Callithrix jacchus: one gene and its partners. The protein of the gene in region 1 purifies or fractionates together with the protein of each later gene. This does not show direct contact. Links are inferred from orthologs where the notes say so. Each region holds a gene or a part of one and is shown on either strand. Other genes may lie near its edges. The genes, in order: ANKRD46, ATRN and MGRN1.

What was found.
Region 2: the proteins of ANKRD46 (region 1) and ATRN purify together in Homo sapiens (co-immunoprecipitation; 3 studies listed by BioGRID and IntAct, with this or other methods). This does not show direct contact. The link is inferred for Callithrix jacchus from reciprocal best matches to the Homo sapiens genes ANKRD46 and ATRN.
Region 3: the proteins of ANKRD46 (region 1) and MGRN1 purify together in Homo sapiens (co-immunoprecipitation; 3 studies listed by BioGRID and IntAct, counting the BioPlex papers as one, with this or other methods). This does not show direct contact. The link is inferred for Callithrix jacchus from reciprocal best matches to the Homo sapiens genes ANKRD46 and MGRN1.

The regions. Positions count from the first base shown.
Region 1 is NC_133517.1:96,398,235-96,402,372, forward strand, and holds the start of ANKRD46 (ankyrin repeat domain-containing protein 46), read left to right. Parts: upstream 1-1,211; 5' UTR 1,212-1,238; exon of another isoform or gene 1,239-1,421; intron 1,422-1,487; exon of another isoform or gene 1,488-2,495; intron 2,496-4,123; exon of another isoform or gene 4,124-4,138.
Region 2 is NC_133506.1:11,065,282-11,068,927, forward strand, and holds part of ATRN (attractin), read left to right. Parts: intron 1-95; coding exon 96-316; intron 317-1,949; coding exon 1,950-2,071; intron 2,072-2,941; coding exon 2,942-3,080; intron 3,081-3,646. UniProt on the Homo sapiens protein: Involved in the initial immune cell clustering during inflammatory response and may regulate chemotactic activity of chemokines. May play a role in melanocortin signaling pathways that regulate energy homeostasis and hair color.
Region 3 is NC_133513.1:6,809,972-6,813,617, reverse strand, and holds the end of MGRN1 (E3 ubiquitin-protein ligase MGRN1), read right to left. Parts: intron 2,184-3,646; coding exon 2,071-2,183; 3' UTR 79-2,070; downstream 1-78. UniProt on the Homo sapiens protein: E3 ubiquitin-protein ligase. Mediates monoubiquitination at multiple sites of TSG101 in the presence of UBE2D1, but not of UBE2G1, nor UBE2H. Plays a role in the regulation of endosome-to-lysosome trafficking.

The DNA of each region.
Region 1 (4,138 bases):
CCAATATGACAATAGTCCTAAACCTTTACACGACATTTTCAAGAACAAACTATTAGACAGTAGATGGTTTTTGAATGAATGGATTATGAGACACCCTAAAGCAGGGGTATCCAATCTTTTGGCTTCCCTGGGCCACACTGGAAGAATTTTATGTATACTACTAACATCAACAATTGTTGATATTAGTATATTTTATGTGTGGCCCAGGTTTGTTTTTTTTTTTTTTTTTTTTTCAAAAAATAAAAATAAAACCTGCAAAATCTCATAATGTTTTAAGAAAGTTTATGAGTTTGTGTTGGGCTGCATTTTAAACTATCTTGGCTGCATGCAGCCTGCAGGTGTGGGCCGTGGGTTGGACAAGCTTGCTGTAGAGCCTGGCTTGGTTGGATGAGGGTGCTATAATTCAGAGGATGGTCAGTGTGCAGGGGGAGTTGTCTTGGCTGTAGGATTGGAGTTGGTAAACTGAAGAAAAAGAAACTAGTTTTGCATGAAAGAATGTTTTCAGTACATGAATGTCCCAGATGTCCCAGCACTCTTTTAGTCTTGGCTGCACGTGTTGCAATAAGTCAAGGAACCCTACAAAGTAGGATGGAAAGATTGAAAGTGTGAATGACTTGAACCCGGGAGGTGGGGATTGCAGTGAGCTGAGATTTCGCCACTGCACTCCAGCCTGGGCGACAGAGCAAGACTCCGTCTCAAATAAAAAAAAAAAAATTCAAACTGCTTTTGAAAAAAACCAAAAATGCAGGATTATATTTTAGAATTAGAGCAGCCAGCCATTAGTGGCTATTCCTAATACGTCCATCTGGGGTCTACAGAAGCTCTACCTAGCGGCAAGCAACTATTAATTCACGTTTATAGCACCTAATAAAATTCCCTTTGCCTTTGAAGTCCCCATTTAGCTAAGGGGATGAGATGTGAATTTAGAACAGGACGAGAAAAGTGCAAAATGCTCCCGGACTCAGATCAGATAAACCTCTTCTAGGATGGCTTCCTCTTGGGAAGCCACAAGTTTTGATGCTTTCCCGAATTCAGAGCAGGCACTCCCAGAATCTCTGACTCAGCAGGCCAAGCCACCGTGCGGACCGCCCATCTGCAGGGGGCGCTCCGGGGCCGCGGCGCCAGGCCGCTCTGGCCCAGCGGGGACTCTGCCTGCCCCTGGCCGGCCCCTCCCCTCCCTCCGCCCGTCACCGCCGCGGAGCAGCTGCCGCAGTCTCTGCTGCTCGTTCGAGTCGCAGGTACCTGACCTCGGGCCCGTGGGCAGCGCCAGGGCGAGAGCCACTCGATACCTCCCGCAACGTCCCTGTAGGACCGGAGATCCAGTCGGCCTGGCCGAGGGTCCTGAGGGGAGAGGGTGCCCGGGCTCCCGGCACCTCCGCGGCCAGCGGAGGGAGGCGGGCCCAGGAAGCGAGCGCGGATTGGTGAGCGCGTCTCTGCGGTCTGTGTGCTCCTGAGGCCGGGAGAGGCCCGCGAGGCTGCTCGTTTGCGCATGCGGGGTGTGGCTGTGGTCCTGGGAGCCCCGGGGTGGCGCTGGCTCGCGGTTAATCCGGCGGTGGGTGAGTGCGGAAGCCCCGCCGCGGGTCCAGCTGCCCGGCCGGGGCGAGACGGTGCCCTCGCGGCGTGGGCTTGGAGGAGCGCAGCGTCCAGGGCGCCGGGACAAGCTGTTGGGGTGGGACTGAGCTGTCCCGGGTGCCAGTGTTAGAAGGCGGCATTTGCACACCTTCCGCTTAGGGCTCAGCTCATCGGAAACGTCCTCTCTTATTTGACGTGCAGTGCTAAGAAGCAGATCGTTCTCTCTCAGGTTTTCCTAAAGCTCAAGAGAAAAGCATTTGTTTTTTTAAAACGTTCCACGGTATTCGGGGTTGGCGACAGAACATCGTAAAGTAAAAATATGCCATTGAATAGTAACACTTCTCACCCTTTAAAAAATGACAGTGGTACCTAGGAGGTTCTTAAAGAGCTGTAATATGAGTGGTGTGGGGATTATTTTTATGTTCTAGTAATAGCTGTTTTCTTTTCGTTCTCTTTTTTTTTTTTTTTAAACATACGGTGTCTCGCTCTGTCGCCAGGCTGGAGTGCAATGGCGCCATCTCGGCTCACTGCACCCTCTGCCTCCTGGGTTCAAGCGATTCTTCTGCCTCAGCCTCCCGAGCAGCTGGGACCACAGGCGCCCACCATGCCCAGTTAAAATTTGTATTTTTAGTAGAGACGGGGGTTTCACCATGTTGGCCAGGATGGTCTCGATCTCTTGACCTCATGATCCGCCCGCCTCAGCCTCCCAAACTGCGGGGATTACAGGTGTGAGCCACCGCACCCGGCCAGTAATAGCTGTTTTCAGTGGTTATTTTATGTCAGACGTGATGCCATTGCTTTTAATACCTGGCACCTTTATTTAATCCTTGGAGCAACCCTATCAGATGCCATTTCCATTATACAGATAAGGAAACTGAGCCGCCGAGGGTCTGACTTGTCCAAGGTCAGACAGCTAGCAAAGGGTGAGCGAGATTTCGCCTCCTCTCCCTTACTTCAGTATCCCAGCTTCTGTTATCTAGCCAAACGTGTAGTGCTAAGAGTTTTGTTTATCAATTAGACGTGTAGCCAAAACTGATTTTCCTCTGGCTTAGTTTTCATGGCCATATGCAGAAGTCCTATATGAAACTAATTTAAAAGGAGTTTCATAAGAAAAATGTTAGCGCATTAAGGACTATGGTGATAATAAAGTTAGACTTGGACTGGGGTTCTCAATATGCCAGTATGATTTTGATTTGAATAGAGATGGATTTATTTGATTGTGAACACACTTAATTACTTTTCTTCATTATTTATGTTTCCATACATTTTTAGTGAGTTCACTTTGCCTTTGCAATATTATGATAGCAGGACCAGAGGGAAATCAAAGATTTTTCGATGATAGCAAGTTAATATTTTACAGAATATAGGAAAGGCATTGGAGGCTGTGAAGCGATGAGGAATTTTTGGCATGTTATTTAGAGCAAATTGTGTTACTTTGGAAAATAAAGGTTTCTCACAGTTCTTTGTCAAAAGGGGAAATTGTATTTCCCGTTGTGGAAAGAAGTTGGGTTTTGTAGTCCCAGACTTCTTAACCTTGTCTATTATAGATTTAAGAATTTGCATATTCAGCATTCACATAGCAGGCGTATGTTTAGTGCCTTCCATGGCCAGGCTCTGTTGTGAGCACTGGGGTTACGAGAGTAGACAAAATGAAGTCCTTGTCTTCCAGGAGCTAAAGTGTCACTGGAAGAAGGTGGGGGTGGGAATAATAAGCGACATTTGTGAAAGTTAACCTATCTCCAGTCAGATGGTAACAGTTGCTAAGAAGAAAAATAAAGTAACAAAGGGGGATAGGAAGCACCAAGAAAGGGACAGGTGCAGTCTGGTGCCATGGAAAAGACTCGAGCAAAACTGAAGGCGTCAGAGACTGCCATGCAGCTGTCTAGGGAAAGAGCACACCAAGCAAGGGCAAAAACCCAGAATCCGTGAGTCTTGTTGGAGGAACAGCAAAGGGGCCAGTGGCTTTGAGCACCTGGAGGGAAGGAGGATGAGACAAGGTCAGAGAGCTAATGGGCCCAGGTAAGGACTTTCGCTTTGACTCTGAGTGAGAAGGGAGGTGGTTGGAGGGTTTTGAGCAGAGGAGTGAGGGGATCTGGATTCAGGTTTTCAAAAGATCACTTCAGTTGCTGTGTTCAGAGTGACTGTAAGGGCAAGGATGGAAACAAGGAGACCTGTTAGGTTGATGCAGTAGTTGAAGCCAGAGAGAATGGTGGCTTAGACCAGGTGGGTAGTAAGAGAGGCAGTAAGAAGCCTTCGTATTTTGAGTACTGCTGATAGGATTTGTTGATGGTTTGGATGTGCTTGTGAGAGAAAGGCTGTTGGAAGGCTTTTGTTACAGTGTACCGAGATGGAGAAGACTGAATGTGAAGGTGGGTGGAGCCATTTTAGTCAGGTTTGAGATGCCTCTTCAAGTGGGGTTATAGAGACTGGAGTTGAGGAGAAAGGTCCAGCTGGAAAGAGAAATTTGGGAGTCACTAATGCAAGCTTGTTCAACTCAAATTTGTAAACGTTTTGAAAACATTATGAGATTGTTTGCATTTTTGTTTTTAAGCTCATCAGCTGTTGT
Region 2 (3,646 bases), on another chromosome or scaffold:
GAGTAAGACCCTGTCTCTTAAAAAAACAAAAAAGTATAGCTTGCAATTGTTATCTAAGTCTCTGGTAAATTTCTTCTCTCCCTTTTTCCTCTTAGCACCATGTTTGTGTTTGGTGGTTTCAATAGTCTCCTCCTCAGTGACATCCTGGTATTCACCTTGGAACAGTGTGATGCACACCGGAGTGAAGCCGCTTGTTTAGCAGCAGGACCTGGTATCCGGTGTGTGTGGGACACAGGGTCGTCTCAGTGTATCTCATGGGAGCTGGCAACTGATGAACAAGAGGAAAAGTTAAAATCAGAATGTTTTAACAAAAGAAGTATGTTTTTTTCCTCTATTTAGATTTTAATTAATTTGAGACCTCATTTTATCTGAATTATGAAGGAACTTAGCATTTGTACACTTTTTGTGTTCTCCTTATTATCCAAAATTATTCAGTGATAACTTGTACAAAGCATTGCTGGATATTTGAAAATTGGTTTGTAAACATCTCGGATGGGAACATGCCATATGGCTCCTAGAAGGTCTGTGAATGATGAAGACATAACCTTCTTGGCATTGCATAGGCTTTGCCTACTGACTCCAGATCCTGGCTGCAGTTGCTCTGAGGCAGTGCCATCTGGCAGAACTTTGTTTTTGATGATGGAAATGTTCTGTGTCTGGACTATCCCAATATTGTAGCCGCTATCCACATGGGGTATCAAATACTCGAAATGTAGCTAGTGTGACTGAATAACTGAATTTTTAATTTAATTTTAATTTAAAAAACATTTGTGACTACTGGCTACTATCTTGGATACAGATCTATCATTAAGGATGAAATCAGGAGAGTCAGCCCAGAAAAGCCATGTTGAAGTAAATTGTTTTGGTAGAGAGAAGGAGAGCTGCTGTCCTTGCAGAGTATTTTTGTCTAGCTTCTCTAGTTGGATACATATCAAGACAGACAGTTACTGAGGATGGGCAGTGATCTCTCTTCTAGAACCTCCCCTCATGGTTTCCAAGCTGGTTTCTTCCTTCTGCCTGCTTTGTTTCCTGTCCTATATTGCTGACACATAGAGAACAATACAATACAGTGAAGTGATGTATAAAAAAGTTCTATTTTATTTTATTTTGAGACAGAATCTCACTCTGTCGCTCAGGCTGGAGTACAGCAGTACAATCTCAGCTCACTACAACCTCTGCCTCCCAGATTCAAGTGATTCTCATGCCTCAGCCTGTAATCCCTGAATAGCTGAGATTACAGTCACCTGCCACCAAACCCAGCTAATTTTTGTATTTTTAATAGAGACGGGAGTTTCACCATGTTGGCCAGGCTGGTCTTGAACTCATGACCTCAGGTGATCCGCCCACCTCGGCCTCCCAAAGTGTTGAGATTACAGGTGTGAGCTATTGTGCATGGCCAGAAAATTCTTTAAAAGTAAGAATGTTTTCTCTGTAAGATATTTATTTACACCAATTAATTTAAAATATGTTGGCTGAATTTCTTATTAGTAGAATTGGTGTTGCAGTTAACTTGAGAGTTATGATGCGTAGAAGCAGCTTTCATTCCTGTGCCCAAATTAGCCTTGCATTTATAACTAGGTCTCCTACAATATTTTGGCTCCTGGGCGGTTTTGATGTTCATTATATTACTAGTTGATTTTTTTTTTTTTTTTTTGGAACGAAAAGTATTCAAAGAACCAGAATTTACTTTTATTATATCTTATAGTTGTTAAATCAACCTATTCTTGTTTTTACTTTCTGTGTACTTCTTTTTTTTTGGGTCAAAACTATTTCTTTAGATCGTCTATTTCTAAATATTATTTTTAACCAGAACATACCAAATATATTTTTCTGCTAATTTCACTCTTCATTTTACTTCTTAATGATTGTTACAATTTTTTTTAACTTCCAGTCTCTGGTTGTGCTCAACTGAAGCTGTCCACGTTGATGAGGTTTTCTTTTCTTTATAGCTCTTGACCATGACAGATGTGACCAGCACACAGATTGTTACAGCTGCACAGCCAACACCAATGACTGCCACTGGTGCAATGACCATTGTGTCCCAAGGAACCACAGCTGCACAGAAGGCCAGGTCAGAGACTGTTTCTTAAAGATTTCAGAGAAATCCTAATGTGTCATAGGTTCAGCTTTTATAGTGTATGTGATATAAATAATGGCTCAGAGTTATTTTTCAAACAGGTTTAGATTTGGATTTTATTATCCCTGAGTTTTTCCTTTAGGAAGAGATGCTCTATACATCTTAATTCCAAGGGTCCTACTAGCCCTGGGGATTTGTGTGTTTTAGAAGAAGGTAAGACTGTTGTCCCTGGGCATGGCCGTGATTAAGTACTGGATCCTTGATTCGAGGCATCTAATAGTGACCTCACTTTATCAGTGCTAGGTTTTGGTAGCAAGTGTGGGCTTGAGACTGAGAGTGAGTCAGAGATATAGCGGCCCATATTGAACTGTGGAAATGACAGACTGCAGAATCTCCTTGTCATATCTTGGTTTGGCATAACTTCACTGCCTATCCTATATAGATTTTTTAATTGAAGTTATAAGATGACCCAGGCTTTTATAGTTTTTGACAGCTTTCAAGACTTTTTCTGTCAATCTCCTGCAGTTCTTAAAATAGAAAACTTTCAGACTTTTGAAGGGAGCATTTGAAAATAGCAAGTTCAACATTCCCATTTTACAGATGACCAGGTTGAGGTATGGTATTTAAAAGAGTGAGCTGCGTCCTTGCCAGTTAAAAACATGTCCTTGAGCAGAACATTCCATTGCACTATTCCTACTGCAGAGCTGCTGCATCTTATTTGCTTACTTATTTATTTATCTATCTCTCTATTTATTTGCGGTTTGCTTCCTCAATTAGATTTTGTTGTCTATAGTATCCTGTTGGTCCTCACTGTAAGTTCTCTCCGTGGATACAAGAGAAAAGCTTTTGTCCACTGTGTTTTAGATCTCCATTTCCAGGTATGAGAATTGCCCCAAGGATAACCCCATGTACTACTGTAACAAGAAGACCAGCTGCAGGAGCTGTGCCCTGGACCAGAACTGCCAGTGGGAGCCCCGGAATCAGGAGTGCATTGCCCTGCCTGGTAGGCCTTGCAGGGTCATCTTGGTGTGTGTGGGTCCAAGACTTCACCCCACTTCCCCCAACACTATGCAGCCTAGGTTGAACCTAGCAAAGGGGAAAAGCTAGTTCTGTGCATTCATCCCCCACACCAGTACGATGAGGTTTTTTGTTTTTAACTAAAATGCACTTCTTAAGTATTTGCTCCTATTGTCCTTTGAAATAAAGTGAAACATCCTTCACTGCTCTGGAGAATTGAGTGACAGCTTGGTTTTGTATCACTGAGCTGGCTCCTTTCCTCTTCCTCATCCACCTTTGATAACCTGGGACTAGAACACAATGTCTCAGCAGCCAGTCTGCTGAGCACTTTATGGAGAGTACTTCTTATTAACCACTTGGATTTGGTTGTTGGCACCTGCTCATGGGCCTCCTCTCAGAAGGACAGAATAGATACTTCCATCAGCAGCACCTTCTTGGGGTATCTCCAGCCCTGAAAACCTCAACACATGCTACTTCTGAGGTTCAGGATAATGAGTTCAGGGCCTGAGACCAGCCAGCCGTGACCAAACCACTGTGATATATTTGTTCAAC
Region 3 (3,646 bases), on another chromosome or scaffold:
CACCCAGTGGCCCAACTCCGGGTCAGGAAACAGCCACTGTCCTGAGGGCTGTGCCCAGAGGAAGGAACAGACAGTATATTGCTGCGTGATTTTATTACTATAAATATACAGTAAAAACAAATGGGCCCATCTGAGCACATCAAATGGCAGCACATAGGAGTCCCAGCGGGCCATTCTGCAGCCTGAACTTCACGGAGAGCCCTGGCACCAGGACCGACGGCCACAGGCTGGGGCCTTGGCAGAGCGGGAGGAGAGGTGGGGTTGGGGGGAGGTGTGTGGGGGGAGGTGCGTTGGGGAGATGCCTGGGCCAAGTGCACACACACGTGGGAGCATATGCGTATGGGTATGTGTATGCGTGCACGTGTGTGGGAGCATGTGTGTATGCGTATGAGTGTGTGCAAATATGCCTGAGCATGTGTGCGTGAACGTGGGAGCATGTGTGTATGAGCATGTGCAAGTGACTGTGCATAAGCATGTGTGTGAATGTGAGAGCATGTGCACAAGGGCAGGAGGGGACTGGCCTGGGTGTGCAGGGAGCTGGGTGCAGGGACCACTGCTGGGTCCCCCCTGAGCGCCCAGGAAGCAGAGCTTGTACTCAAGGCCACCCTGAACCTCAGGGAGGGCTGTGAGCTGCCCCACAGCCATCTGATCCCCAAGCCCAGCTGCAGGGCAACCTCCCCGCCCCCGGGCCAGAAGACCCACACATACCTTCCCGGCCCAGGGCCCTGCTGGGGTGGCTCAAGTCCTGGGTCACCAAGGCCAGATACCCCCTTCACCTGTCTGCTGCCCAGGATGTTTACCTTAATAAAAACAGGACAACGTCGCCCAGAGGCCAAGCCTCCAGGCTGTGACCTCACTTACCAGGTGGGCTGCTGGCTCCCTCCTCCCCGGGTGGGTCTCACCGAGGGAGCCTGACACATCAAATCAAAGAGAACCACAAGGGGGCCGGGCGCAGCGGATCATGCCTGTAATCCCAGCACTTTGCGAGGTGGGTGGATCACCTGAGGTCAGGAGTTCGGGACCAGCCAGACCGACATGGTGAAACCCTGTCTCTACTAAAAATACAAAAAAATTAGCCAGGGTTGGTGGCATGCACCTATAATCCCAGCTACTCGGGAGGCTGAGGCAGGACAACCACTTGAACCTGGGAGGTGGAGGTTACAGTGAGCGAAACCATGCCACTGTACTCCAGCCTGGGCAACAAGAGTGAAACTCCATCTCAAAAAAAAGAGAACCGCAGGGGACATTCCAATGACAAAAGGGAATGGTCCTTCTTGACAGGGCCCTGCTGAACGGATGGCCCTGCAACTGGAGGGGCCTGGTGAGGTCACCAAAGCCAGCACGGTGAGAAGGTGCAGGGCTTGGTAACAAGGCTGCTGGATGATGGCTGCTGGAAGCGGCTGTGCCTTGGCCCCTCAGTCAGGTCCAGTGCTAGGCTGAGATGCTTCAGCTGCCCAGAGCGACAGCAGTGCACCCCAAAGCTCTGAGCACTGAAGGCGCCAGCAGAGACACACCAGGGAGGGCATGGAGGCTGCACAAACACGGCAGAGGACAGAAGGCAGCAACAGCCAGGCTGCCGTGGTAACACCGGTGGGCTGGGCGGACAGGCACCGTTTCCTTCACTGACCGTGCCTCGAGCCCCCACTGCCCCCGAACATCTGTGAAGATAGTGCTTCACCCACCAATAAATTCTCTTGTGCAGGTCTGCTGAGTTCTCTGGGCAGCAACTGCACTGCTGAGGGACCCGGTGCAGCCAGCAAAAGCCACATGTGGGCAGCCCCAGCCCCAGATGCTCGGCCCACCAGACCCTGGGGAACCCAGGCGCTGAACTTGGGATGGAAAGCTGCTGTCCTTCATCTTGTACCAGTTACAAATATATCAACCATAGAAAAGGGGGACTTGGGGGACAGTCCACTGTGCTCTTTCATCAGGGGTCACCACAGCCCCTTGGAGCCTGGTGGCCACAGGGGGCATGCAGACAGGAGAGGCCGAGTCACACCGGGGTCTGGGGCAGCCCCTTGGCAAAGTCTAGGGAGCTGAGGGCTCCATGCTGCCAGCTTGGCCAGGCTCTCAGAGTGAGGTCAGCTCGGCGGTGCTGGGATCAGGGCTGGGGCCACCAAGAGGAGGCCAGGTGGGGCTGGTGGTGCCAAGGCTGTGGGCCATTTCCATGGAGGTGGGCCATCCTGCAGGCAGGAGCAGAGGGGGAGGGAGGTGGGTCACACTCAGCTGCTTGGTGCCACCCACTCCTACCAACCTGGAGCCACACAGGGGTGGGCCACCCCGCACCCCCACTCCCGCCACCTGTCTGTGGCCAGAACAGATGGGGCCTCTCCAGCCCTGCCAAGCACGGTGTGTCCCTCTCAGGCAGATCACCCCTCATCCCAGGACACCGGGCACATCACCCTGCACCCCCAGACACTGGCAGCAGAGCTGCAGCCCCGAGTCAGAACACGACGTGGCGCTGTGGCTTCTGTCCTCTGGGTCTCCTGCCCTCCCCCTGGTCCCAGTTTCCTGGGATGTGACCACCCACTGTCCTGCTAAGGTCCTTATGGCTAGGTTAGGCTAGAACTCAGTCACCCTGGGGTGGAGGGGCAGGGAGCAGCCCCGAGCGAGAACGATCCCAAGCTCAGAGTGGCCCCATGGTGGCTTCTGTGAGGCAGAGAGGAGCCTCCCACAGAGCCCCGACGCTTGGACTATGGCTTCTACACCGCTGCCAGGTGCTGTCCCCAGATGGGTCTGGCTTCCCCGGGGCTTGGGTAACAGTGCTGGTGCTGAGCCTGGGACGGGGCCAGCACGGCCTCAGGGCTGCCCAACATCCAGCCACCAGCCCTGACCCATGGCTCCCAGCAGACAGGGCCCGGCCCCGCTCTCAGGTGAAGGATGGCTATCTTCCTCAGGGGCTTCGGCCTGCAGCAATACCAGAGCTCAGAGGCTGTGAGCCTGTTCCAGACCACACCTGCGCTCCCCACCTCTGGAAGCTTGACCTGAGCCGTAACATTCGAACGGCACCATCCCCCGACACGCAGGCCGGGGCCCTCTAAAAGGTGCAGGTGGCGTTTCAGTCAAGGGGTATGACAGGTCAGGAGAGGGGTCCACAGAGGGACGCACTGGGCTCAAGACGACAGATGCGTGAGAACGCAGAGTGCAGTCAAAACAAGCAAAGCTCCTGGGCCCAGCTCAAGTCCGCCCAGGGGAAAGGGCCTCTGGGAGCCTGGACCCCGGCTGGGCACTTCCCAGCGGGCCACATGGGCCTTGCCCGACGATGGCTGTGGTCCTGTGTGGGAGCCCCGGCCTCAGAGAACACCAGCAGCCCCCTCAGCAGACCAGAGCTGCAGGCGGCATGTGCGCCCAGACCCTTCGGGAAGGCAGAGGGTCCCCAGTCTGCCTGCCTACTTTTTGGTGGTACTCCTGGAGCTGTCCTCTCTCTCTCTCTCCTGTGCGTGTGTGTGTGTGTGTGTGTGTGTGTGTGTACGTGTGTGTTTGCATGTGTATATTTTCTGTTTTTGAGACAAGGACTCAGGCTGGAGTGGGCCTGGACCTCCCCAGCTCAGGCAATCCTCCCACCTCAGCCCTCTTAGGAGCTGGGACCACAGGTGTAAGCCACCAAGCTCAAGCCAGTTTTTAAACTTTTGTAGAGGGGTCTCAC